Macaca mulatta: one gene and its partners. The protein of the gene in region 2 purifies or fractionates together with the protein of the main gene of each other region. This does not show direct contact. Links are inferred from orthologs where the notes say so. Each region holds a gene or a part of one and is shown on either strand. Other genes may lie near its edges.

What was found.
Region 1: the proteins of UBQLN2 (region 2) and RAD23A purify together in Homo sapiens (affinity purification with mass spectrometry; 3 studies listed by BioGRID and IntAct, with this or other methods). This does not show direct contact. The link is inferred for Macaca mulatta from reciprocal best matches to the Homo sapiens genes UBQLN2 and RAD23A.
Region 3: the proteins of UBQLN2 (region 2) and HERPUD1 purify together in Homo sapiens (affinity purification with mass spectrometry; 3 studies listed by BioGRID, with this or other methods). This does not show direct contact. The link is inferred for Macaca mulatta from reciprocal best matches to the Homo sapiens genes UBQLN2 and HERPUD1.

Annotation. Positions count from the first base shown.
Region 1 is NC_133424.1:13,511,651-13,515,736, reverse strand, and holds the start of RAD23A (UV excision repair protein RAD23 homolog A), read right to left. Parts: upstream 2,894-4,086; 5' UTR 2,807-2,893; coding exon 2,735-2,806; intron 931-2,734; coding exon 769-930; intron 609-768; coding exon 427-608; intron 291-426; coding exon 235-290; intron 102-234; coding exon 1-101. UniProt on the Homo sapiens protein: Multiubiquitin chain receptor involved in modulation of proteasomal degradation. Binds to 'Lys-48'-linked polyubiquitin chains in a length-dependent manner and with a lower affinity to 'Lys-63'-linked polyubiquitin chains.
Region 2 is NC_133426.1:56,539,288-56,543,665, reverse strand, and holds the start of UBQLN2 (ubiquilin-2), read right to left. Parts: upstream 2,882-4,378; 5' UTR 2,605-2,881; coding exon 1,170-2,604; intron 1,074-1,169; coding exon 730-1,073; 3' UTR 1-729. UniProt on the Homo sapiens protein: Plays an important role in the regulation of different protein degradation mechanisms and pathways including ubiquitin-proteasome system (UPS), autophagy and the endoplasmic reticulum-associated protein degradation (ERAD) pathway.
Region 3 is NC_133425.1:52,535,338-52,538,932, forward strand, and holds part of HERPUD1 (homocysteine-responsive endoplasmic reticulum-resident ubiquitin-like domain member 1 protein), read left to right. Parts: intron 1-566; coding exon of another isoform or gene 567-572; intron 573-745; coding exon 746-823; intron 824-911; coding exon 912-986; intron 987-2,211; coding exon 2,212-2,342; intron 2,343-3,595. UniProt on the Homo sapiens protein: Component of the endoplasmic reticulum quality control (ERQC) system also called ER-associated degradation (ERAD) involved in ubiquitin-dependent degradation of misfolded endoplasmic reticulum proteins.

The DNA of each region.
Region 1 (4,086 bases), on a different chromosome or scaffold from region 2:
GGGGTTGTTGTAGCTGGCTCTCAGGGCGGCCACGACCCGCTCCCGCTCATAGCCCATGGACATGATCTCCGTCAGCATCGTCTCATACTCAGAGCCCGTCACTGTGGAGGGAGCAGAAAAGCCTGGGTCACCAGGAAGAGGAAAGGGCAGCTCCCAGGCCCTCCCGCACCCAGACAAGGCCCAGCTGATGGCTGGGGCACCCAGTCGCCTCTGCCCTGGGGACCACCCACCCACCTAGCGTGGAGGCCGCGTCTTCCTCTCGCCCGCTGCTACCTGAAGAGGGAACAGAGCTGCAAATTCAAGAGAGAGAAATCGGACCCTGGCTTCTGGCGGCTTGCCCTCCCTCCAGGTGTGTGGGCCACTTATGTGGACACTGGAATGTGCTAGGAAGACAGGGCCCAAGCTGGGACTGGTGCCCCGCCTTACCCTGACACAGACTCTGGGGACGTCGTAGGGGCGGATTCCTCTGATGGGCTCTTGTCCTCTCTGGCGGCAGGTTGGGGATGGGACATGCCTGAGGTGGGGGCAGGCGGGAAGGATGTAGAGGACTCTGGGGCAGCTGTAGGTGAGGCCTCTGGGGGTGCTGAGGTACCCTGGCCGGCTTTGGTCTGCGACAGCAAGAAAAAGGGAGCTGGCATCAGCAACCCTATCAGACCCAACAACCCGCTCTGCTGTGGCCCCGCCCTGTTCATGGCTAATCTCTCCTGGGCACACAGGCTCTTTGCCAGCTCCCCTGCTCATCCCTCCCAGCCAGCACACGTCACCCACCTTGGTCACCATGACGACCACAAAGTTCTTCTCATCGATGCGATAGTCCCTGATAGGGACATCATCGCTCAAGATCTTGCCGGCATAGATGAGTTTCTGTCCAGCCACGGGGAAAGCATCACGACCCTTCTCAGCTTCTATCTTCTCCTTTAGCACCTTCACCTAGAAGAAGTAGTACAGACAGTCACTGGAGACCCCAAGATTCTCTCTTCTAGTTTAGGACGGAGAAGGTGCAAGCCCTGATGGCAGAGAGGCAAGCATGCTGGAATTTTTAAGCTTTCTCAGCATCTAAAGCATGCTAGATAAGAATTCATTCAATCATCATGCCATTCAACATAGTATTTATTTATACTAAACACCTATTACGTGCCAGGTGCTGTTTTAGACATGGAGGCCACAGCACAGAACATAACACAAGTCCCTGCTCTCAATGAGAGAACACTAATGTGAAGAAAATGTTAATTTCAGGTGGCATAAAGTATGATAACAGAATAAAGGGGACAGTCCCCCACTCTACACTGTATCTTGGACAATAACAGTGACTAATAGTTCACAGTGATATTTCTTTTTTAAAAGACAGGATCTCACTGTTGCCCACACTGGATTGAAGTGGCACGACCACAGCTCACTGCAGCCTCAAACTCCTGGGCTCAAGTGGTACTCTCACCCAGCCTCGGGAGTAGCTAGGACTAAAGGTGCACACCACCACACCAGGCTAATTTTAAAAAAATTTATTTTTGTAGATAAGAGTCTCCTTATGTTAGGCTGGCTGGTCTCAAACTTCTGGCCTCAAGCAATCCTCCTGCCTACGCCTCCCAAATCATTAGGATTACAGAGGCATGAGGCACCATGCCTGGCCAATAGTGCTACTGTAAGTGTGTATGTGGCATACCTTTTAAGCTTCCTATGAAATACATTTAATTGGCCTCCTTTTATTTATTTATTTTTGTTTCTTCTTTTTGTAGAGAATGGGGTCTCACTGTGTTGCCAGGATGATCTTGAATTCCCAGGCTCAAGCGCTCCTCTTGCCTCTGCCTCCCTAAGTGCTGGGATTACAGGCGGAAGCCAGCAGGCGACAGGTTCATTTGATATTTTGAGAAAATGGAGGCACAGAGAGGTTAACTTGCCCAAAGCCAAACCGTTGAGCTGATCAAAAAATGTGTGTTTCCTTTTCTACAAAAAGTGGACTTCAATGTCTCCCTCACTGTGCAAAAAGTGCCAAGTACCCAATAGTCATTATGTTTGAATTAGGTCCTAATTCTATTTTTGACTAAAAAGGCAGCATAATATTTATATAGTGGACGCTCACACGAGGCAGAACCGAATGTGAATCCCAGCTCTGACATTACATGTGTGACTGTGACAAAGTTCCTTAACCCCAAGGTTTCCACATCTGTAAAATGGTCAGAGGTCCTCAATGACAAGCCCGTTCTGCAGAGCAGTAAAACAACACTAAAACACTCGATGACTGATAAAAAATAAACGCCCAAAAAACACGGACCACCAAAATTATAAAGACTGAGATCCCTTTATTATCATTAACATCGTTGTTGTCGTCACTACTCGTTATCTCCTGGTCATTACTCCTAGATTCCACCACCAGTGTCCCCAGGAGAAGCCTGCAAAGCTGAGAACGTGGAGCCCAGTCCTGGAGAGCTTGGCCTGCCCAGGCCTCCGAGCCTGTGACTCCCGCGCCCCGCGAGAGCGCTGACATTGGAGCCGGGACCTGGCCAGAGGCCCGGGGGTGGGGCCTCGCCCGGAGACCGGCCCAGGAGCGCCGTCCGATCCGCTGGGGACCGGGCTAAGGACCATCGGGGGGTCCAGGAAAGTCGGGCAGGTCGGGGGTCTGGACAGGGCCGACCCGCGCCGTCCTCCCTGCCCCTCCCGTTGGGATCCTAGTCTCCCCGCCCCCACCCCATCCCCGGCACCCGTCACTCCCGCCCCCGGGCTCTGGCCTGGCCCGCACCGTCTCGTCAGGCTCCATGCGGATCTTGAAGGTCTGCTGCTGCAGCGTTTTCAGCGTGATGGTGACGGCCATGGCGGGGCCCGAGCGACGCGGCGGCCCCTAGATCCTCACACAACATGCAACTCACGCCGCCGCCATCTTAGCGCCCAGGCGCGCCGCGCCGCGCGCCGACCACTTCCGGGGCAGGCGATGCGCGCGCTGACCACCGGCGCACGTGACCTGTGCGCACCCTCCTTGGCCTTTATGGGCATGCGCACGAGCGCGGTGTCGAGCGAGGCATGCGCAGACTAAACTCCGCGTTGTGGGCGTGGGCGGGGACGGGGCTTCTCATTCTGCCAGCACACGAGGTCTCCAAAGTGACGCCATGCCCGTTAGCGGTGACGTCACGGGAGTGCAATGGCGCGATCTCGGCTCACTGCAACCTCTGCCTCCCGGGTTCGTGCAGTTCTCCTGCCTCAGCCTCCCGAGTAGCTGGGATTACAGGGAACCCCCACCATGCCCTGATAATTTTTGCATTCTTTTTTTTTTTTTTTTTTTTTTTGAGACGGAGTCTCACGCTGTTGCCCAGGCTGGAGTGCAGTGGCGCGATCTCGGCTCACTGCAAGCTCCGCCTCCCGGGTTTACGCCATTCTCCTGCCTCAGCCTCCCGAGTAGCTAGGACTACAGGCGCCCGCCACCGCGCCCGGCTAATTTTTTGTATTTTTTTTAGTAGAGACGGGGTTTCACTGTGGTCTCGATCTCCTGACCTTGTGATCCGCCCGCCTCGGCCTCCCAAAGTGCTGGGATTACAGGCTTGAGCCACCGCGCCCGGCCAATTTTTGCATTCTTAATAGAGTCAGGGTTTCACCATGTTGGCCAGGCTGGTTTCCACCTCCTGACCTCAGGTAATCCGCCCGCCTCGGCCTGGCAAAGTGCTGGGATTACAGGCACGAGCCACTGCACCTGGCCCTGAGTTTTATTCTGGCAGATAGGGCAAAGTGGAAGTTACTCAAGACTAGAAATACCTGAAAGGCCACCAAGCAGAGGAAAAAAACCTTACATTGGTAGCAGGGGCAAGGTGCCATTTTGTAGCCTCATTCATTCTTTAGGGATCCGGATTTTTGGAATGAACCTACTATTTTAATTCCTGGGTCTCCCGCCAGGAGTACTTTGTTGTACTATCCCCAATCTGACCCCAAAAGTATTTAAAGATGTTAACTTTCAAAGCCTCACGACATTAAAAACAGAATTCTCCCTTGGATCTGCCAGTCCTAGAGGCATCCCAGAGGGGTTGGGCTGAGCCACAGGACCCCAAAGGAATAGAAGCATGAAGAAGGCCAGTTTAAGAGGGTGAACCAGATTAAGCCATTGTA
Region 2 (4,378 bases):
CTCCAGAAACATTTCTTGTATTCTTTCTCATTTTGGTTACACATATTACACTCAGATTCTACTGTAATATTTTTAGATGTACAGTGCCAACTGTGCTTACTGTACTGTATACAAATATAGCAAAAAAGATCAATGAATGGTATAAATCTTACAGCATTTTGCTAGCAAAAATACATGCCAAAGTCACAATAAGCAATATCGTACCACAAATTAGAGAGCTTCAAATAATTTGCCTCTGTTTTTAATATCTTCATTCTACATTAAATTACTATCATAGGCTAATGTTTAAAAATGCAAATAAATTGGACATCTGTAGGACAACACTTGTTCACCCAACTGTGAAGGTTGATACTTGTTTCCAAAAATCACAATAAATGCAGAATAAAGAGAAGTGTTTGCATGCAACACTTTTGAGTGAAACAGCATTGATTCCCACCATTCAAATCGGGTAAGGAAGGAAACTAAAGGAAATAAGGAAGGAAGGAAACAAAGAGGGAGGAAGGGGGGAGACAAGACGAAGGGAAGGAAAGAAAAATAAGCAAAGGAGAAAGGGAGTGAGGGAAGTAGGAGAGAGGGACTCCATCTTAAAATGCATCATATTAGACTGATAACTAGACAGATTTAAAAGAATCAAAATGAAAGTAAAGAACGATTTTGTGTGTGTGTTTAAAGATTTAAGAGCCATTATCAAAAATAAGATACATTTTTTTTCCAGGTACAGAAATGTGATTACGATGGCTGGGAGCCCAGCAGCCTTTCAATGGCTGCATTGATGTCGCCTCCTGTTGCTATTAGGGCCTGCAAGTTTGCTTCACGGTTTAAGAACCCCATTGCGTTGAGCTGTTCCAGTTGTTGCTGAAATCTGACTTCTGGATTCGGCAGCTGTGGAGCATTTGCTCCAGCCAGAGCCTGCACCATTTGCTGAATGAACTGCTGGTTGGGTCCAGATTCTGATGTAGGACTCGTGGTTTCACTGGGTGCAGCGCTGGACACAGTAGGCCCAGTGGGGCCACCAGAGCCGGTGGAGCCAGGGGGGCCTGCAGGGCCAGTGGGTCCTATGGGCCCAATGGGGCCTATGGGGGTAAAAGGGACTATAGGGCCTATGGGGCCTAGGGGGGTGACTGGGCCTACAGGGCCTATAGCGGTTCCCAGCACCCCCACCCCCACACCTGGAGTGAAGCTTGGAATCAGGCCAGGTGCTTCAGTGGCTAATGTCTGTAGCCCCTGCTGGATCTGCATTAAAGCCTGCATTGCTCTTGGGTTTGACATGGCTGACAGTGTGTCTGGATTCTGCATCTGCTGCAGGAAGGCTGGGAGCTGTGGCCGCATCTGCTCCTGCAGCTGAGGATTTGCAGTAAACAGCGGGCTATTCAGCATCATCTGTGCAGCCAAATCTGGATTCTGGCTCAGCGACTGCATCATGCTTCTCATGTAGGGCGCCGACAGCATATTCTGAATCAGCTGGGGGTTTTCAGTTATCTGTTGCAGCAGGCTCTGCATGCCTGGGGTACTAAAGATGCTGGCGACATAATTAGCGGCAGCAACGGTGTTCCCAGTAGCATTGCTGGAACTATTGCCAGAACCACTACCAGTGCTCGTGGTCGTGCTGGTAGTTGCAGAACTCTGGGTAGCTGGCGGTGGTGCCCATGGATTGGGTAGTGGATCGCGATTTTCTGTGCGGGAAGGCTGCGTACCTTCCCCAGAGGAGGAACTACTCCCCACGGAGGCAAATGGATTACCCCCAAACTGCTCTTGTGCGGCATTCAGCATCGGCTCTTGAATGTCAGTGTACATGCGCCGTAAAGCATTATAGCCACCTGGGATGCTTTCTAGATTGCTAAGAGCCAGGTCTTGATTTCTCATCATCTCTTGCATCATGGCTGGATTCCTGGCAATTTCGAGTGTCTGCCTCATTATATCTGGGTTGTTGAGCAGGTGACTGATTTCTGGGTTTCTCTGAATCAATTGCTGCATCTGTGGATTAGCCATAATGAGCTGCCTCATCAGATCGGGATTCGAAAGCATGCTCTGAACAAAGGGATTTTCCATGATCTGGATCATCATCTCAGGGCTGGCCATGAGCTGCTGCTGCATCTGGCTCTGGAGCTCAGAGAAGTTGGTAGAGCTCAAGCCCAGGCTGCTAAGGCCTGCAAGTCCTCCCAGGCTCCCCAACCCAAACGGGTTGCTATTTGTGGAAATAGGTGTGGAGTTACTCCTGGGAGTCGACGCCGAGGTAGCGTTAGTTCCCGCGGCATTGCTAGGCTGCGTGGACTGGCCCTGAGGTCGGTTCTGGCTTTTGATGACAAGGTGAACAGTGAGCCCATCATGGATGCCATGCTGGATCAAGGTATCTTGATCTTTTAAGATTTTTCCGGCAAAAATCAGCACGAGCTGATCGGTTTGGGATTTGAAGCGTTTCGAAATCGCTTCCTTAAACTGCTGAACCGAGCTGTTCTCGGGCACCGCGAACTCCTCTTTCTCTTTGGGAGTCTTCACAGTGACTTTGATGATTTTAGGCTCAGCCTGGGCAGCAGCCGAGCCTTGGGCCGCAGCAGGGCCGCGGGAGGGGCGCGGGGGGCCGCTGCTCTCGCCATTCTCAGCCATGGCGGCCGCGGTGACGCAGGCGGGCAGGGAAGGCGCGGGCGGGCGAAAGAGAGAGAGCGAGGGAAGGAGGAAGGAAGGAGGCGCCGCCGCAGCGGGCTGGGCCGGGTCGGGCGGGGAGCGCGGAGCACGGTACCTCTCTGATGAAGACTGCGGTTCCCTGGTCCTCCGGTGGAGAAAGGCCTGGGCGTAGGCCGCGAGCTGAGGTCTCCGCGCTCCGGTCTCTGGGCCTCCTCCTCCGCCGCCTTGTGATCCGACCGCGCGCACTCCCAGCAACTCTGGCAGCCGCTCCGCCTGCTGCTCCCCGCCCCTTCCCCTCCCCCAGTTCGGCGCTCGCCTCCCCGCCCCCTCTGCTGACGCGGCGCCAGGCCTAGATTGATAGATTTGGCTCGGTCAAAATTAAAAACTTCTGCACTGAAAAGAAAAAAAGGGAGAGAGCGAAACAAAGGGAGAGAGAGAGAAGAGAAGAGAACAGTACAGAGCAGGCGAGGCAGAGGGTGGGACGGAGAGAAGGAGGCGGTAGAGAGTCAGCTTCTGTAAACCACATTAAAAGACCAATGGAGAATGTATATTAGCAATCTGTAAGGCAGTAAAAGGGTGAAAGCCTGAATCGAACCGATCCCACATATAAGACGAAAAATGAATAATAAAGAACTCTGACAAAGCAAAAAGAAAGAGGAACACCCCCAATGGGGGAAGGGAAGAAGACAGAGCAGGAGCATGCATTTTACAAAAGGAGTGCAAATGGCCAATAGACATTTTAAAAAAGATGATTAATTTCACTAGCAATAAAAAAAAATTCAAGTTAAAACAATAAAATTCTACTTTTGGCTTATCATATTGGCAGGGAAAAAAAATAATGATAAACCTTGTTGTTGACAGGGACCCTAAAAAATGCACTCTCAGGCTAGTTGAAGTGTGAATTGTTACAACCATAGGGCAATTTGAAAATATATATCAGCATTTTGAATGTTTACACCTTTATTTAGAAATGCCTAACCTAGACAATTCGCCTAATAATCGTATGAGGATGCAAAACTATTTATGTATAAAATGTATATACATTGTAGCATTTAAAACGTTATTTAAATATATTAAATATCTGTTTACATAAGATTAGTCGAGCACATAATATTACCATACAAGAAAATATAGAGTGTCTTTAAAGGTATACATGAACTAAACTGTAGTTATAGGGAAATCACAGATTATTTTCAATTTTGCCTTTGTATATTTCTGTACAGTTAAAAACTATATAAGAATGTATGTTCCAATATCAAAAATACAATATATTTTTATTTTAAAAGCAATTTTTGAACAGTTAGTTGTATATGTAAACCGTATGTGTAAAAAAATCTGAAAGGCTATACACAAATAAGTTAATGGCTGTTAGTACTGTTTGCTGAAATTATGAATAATTCTTATTTTCTACTTTCATAAGATTTTGAATTTTCTGATGATTTTTGTAAGTATGCACTACAGAAAGGTATTTTGGGGAAGAGTATGGGTAGAAATTGACAGGCACATAATAGTAGTGGCAAACATTGACATATTTACCTAATTTCATTACAGATTAAATAAGAGCAATAAAGATGTAGCAATGCTCAGAAAGAGAACTTGAAAAATAGAAGAAATAATTTCAAATTTATCTATATATTTCTAACTCTAGGTTAAACCACACAAAAAATTATTCCCCTACCCCCACCCTCTACCAAGCAGCCACCAAAGAACCACTGATTTGAACATTTAACAGCATTTCAAACTCATTAGGTCACAA
Region 3 (3,595 bases), on a different chromosome or scaffold from region 2:
CATCTGTGAAGGCTTCAGTTTAGGATAGCTTCACATTATTTTGGAGCACTGCTAGGTGGATTTGGTTAAGGCTGGCCTTGGGAGTACTCTGAGTTTTCTCTGAAACCGAACTCGATTTGGTTGTAGGTGCCCTGTTTGCTGTTTGTTGCTTTTAGTAACAGGAATCAGTTTACCTGGGAGTTAAGAAGTACATTGCCATAGGTTTGGACTGGAGATAATTTGCCTTTTTTTTTTTTTTTTTTTTTTTTTTGAGATAGGGTCTCACTCTGTTGCCCAGGCCGGAGTGCAGTGGCGTGATCTTGGCTCACAGCAACCTCTGTCTCCCGGGTTCAAGTGATTCCCCTGCCTCAGCCTCCCGAGTAGCTTGGGTTACAGTCACAAGCCACCACACCCAGCTAATTTTGCATTTTTAGTAGAGATGGGGTTTCACCATGTTGGCCAGGCTGGTCTCGAACTCCTGACCTCAGGTGATCCGCCCGCCTTGGCCTCCCACAGTGCTTGAATTATAGGCATGAGCCACTGTGCCCAGCCAATAATTTGCCATTCTGTATTTATTTGCATGTTAGAGACCAGTTAAAGACACTTTCTAAATAGAAGTTTTGTATGTGGGGTTTTTGAGCAGGTATTTTCCCGTGATGCTGGGGGGAAACACACATAATCAAATTACTTGTATAAAACAGTTTCTTCTGTGTTTAGGAACTTTTGGGGGTGAAATGCTGACCTGTGTTTTTCTTTCCATGATCAGCGTCCAGAGGACCAGAGGTTAATTTATTCCGGGAAGCTGCTGTTGGATCACCAGTGTCTCAGGGACTTGCTTCCAAAGGTACCTCACTTACACATTAACCTCTGAATGTTTTTAAGCACTCACCAGGTTAGGTTCAGGTCCTTAAGTGCCTTCTTATTACTTTTAGCAGGAAAAACGGCATGTTTTGCATCTGGTGTGCAATGTGAAGAGTCCTTCAAAAATGCCAGAAGTCAGTGCCAAGGTGTGTCTCCTTCTACATGATGATAACAATTTGTATCATTCAGACTTTCAGGGGAGTAATAAAAGAAGTTGGATAAAACTTTTATTGAGAGACTGTATGGTGTTATTACCAAGTAATATTTTGTTTCTTTCCTAGGAATTAGAAACTGTATTATCAACACAAGTGATAGGTTCATAGTAGCAGATTGTTCCATTACTGCTGTAGTGGAAAAGTGGAGTTACATATTGCACTATCTTCTGGGATATGATTTGATCTATGGTTACTGTGTATCGAGATTACTGAACTAACACTGATTGGATTTTTATTGAATTTAGCACATAGCAAGTTTTTTCAAAGGAGCCATTAATTTTTATAAAGAGTACAAAAGTGAATATATTTCCTCTGGAAATTTTCATTATGATTAGTTGGATAGGAAAAGATCAGAGTCTTTATCAAGTGATCTTTAAAGAATTTTTTTTTTTTTAAATATGGTCTTGCTATGTGGCCCAGGCTTTTCTCAACCTCCTGAGGCAAGCGATCCTCCTACCTCAGCCTCCTGAGTAGCTGGGACTACAGGCATGTGTGACTGGACCTGGCTCTAAAGACTTCTATGTGACAGACAAAAACATTTATTTTTCATTTCACAATGTTTATTCACATATATGGTGTTAGTATTCTGGTGTAGTGATGCACTCTAAATTTGCATTATATTTCCTAGAACATCTGAACAGAGCATAGGAAATTCCCTATTTTGCCATTATCAATTCTAACAAAAATCTTAAAAGCACTTTACCATTTCATTTCCCTGCACTGTAATTTTTAAAAAATGATCAAAAACAGTATCATACCAAGGCTTACTTGTATGAGAATACTATTTTAGAAAGTTTGGGCCGGGTTCTATTTATAAATCTTGTTGGTCAGATTTCTGCAATGAGTAAGTTTAACACCATTATCAAGAAGCTTTCTCACCAATGACAACTTCATTGGAAGATTTTAATGAAATTTTAATGAAAGTGTAGCATCGTTACTGTAGGGAAAAAAATGAATATGTTAGCATCTGTGTATTGAAAATTGTGTGTAATAAATGTCAGACTTTTTTACATAATGTTGCTTCTATTTAATTTTGTCACGTTCAGAGGTGGGGGGTAGGAGACATTAAGCCCTTGACAGCAAAATAATTCCTTTCGCTTGATTTCAGACAGTTGCATCAGCTCCCTTGTTCTGTGTTCATGTTACACTTATTTAGGTGGCTGAATCCACAGAGCAGCCCGCTGGTTCTAATCGGGGACAGTATCCTGAGGATTCCTCAAGTGATGGTTTAAGGCAAAGGGAAGTTCTTCGGAACCTTTCTTCCCCTGAATGGGAGAACATCTCAAGGTGAGTGTTATAATAAAGATCTCGGCTTATGCAACGTGAATGTGCCTCATTTGCATCCATTGAAGAGTAAGGTGTGTTTACATGTATATAATCAGAACTTTTAAACCTACAGAATTTTGCTTTACAAATAGCTTCGCTTTAAAGATGTCTTATATATTTAACTTTTCTTAATACACAGCCTTTTAGTATATACAAATTTAAAAAGTAGGCAATGCATATATTGAAAAAAAAATGTAGGTGTTTTATCCTTCCATTGTGCTGGCCACTTGGTTGCCGTCATGCTAGAAAATTGCTGCTGCAGGAGAAAAGCTGTTGTAAGCATTGTGCAGCTGCTTTGCTGAGTGGCTTTGTGCTTTATTGTAACAATGGGTGACAACAAGGGAGAGACTGTTTAAGAAGTATTCTTCCAGAGACTTGGGGGTACTAGGAAAGTTGGCCATTTTTTATAACCATTAAAGCTTTTCTTTAGAGCAAAAGTCAAAACTAAATGCTGTGTTCTTTGGATTTTTATAGCTCTTGGAATACCTTGTTTTTTGGGAAAAATTCATTAACTACAAGTTGAAATTCCATAACTCTCCAATTCCCCATCCCCCTTTTCCTAGTAGTTTTTATATGCAACATTTTATAAAGCCAGGTGTTTCAGGAGTGAGTTTTTCTTTTTTTTTTCCCTTAATGGAACTTTCAAATATAAACAACAGTGGGGACTAGATAATTAATCCCCACACCATCATCCAGGCCTAATAAATAACAATCAGAGTTTTACCATACCTCATCTATTACCTTTTCCCCTTTTTTTTAAAAGTATTTAAAAGTAATCCCCAGTTATGTTATTTCATCCCTATATACTTGAGTATATAACTATGAAAACCTTTTAGTTATCCTGTATATCTAGAATGCCATTATCAGATCTAACAAAAATCTTAAAAGCACTCTATCATTTCATTTCCATGCACTGTAATTTTCTTAAATGATCAAAAACAGTATCATACCAAGGCTTACTTGTATTGGAATACTATTTTAGAAATACTCTGTGTATGGAATTTAGTTAAAAGATTGTCAGCATATAAATTGGATAATTATTGGATAGAAAATTATTGGTTAGAAAAACTTCTTCCCTTATTCTGATTCAACTATTTCTAACTTGAGAATTGAGGCTCGTATTTGACTTTCTGAATCTCACCATAGTTAAACTTGATTTCCTTTAACAAATACTTATTGAACAGCCAGTACATATAACTGTGCTTAAGGATATG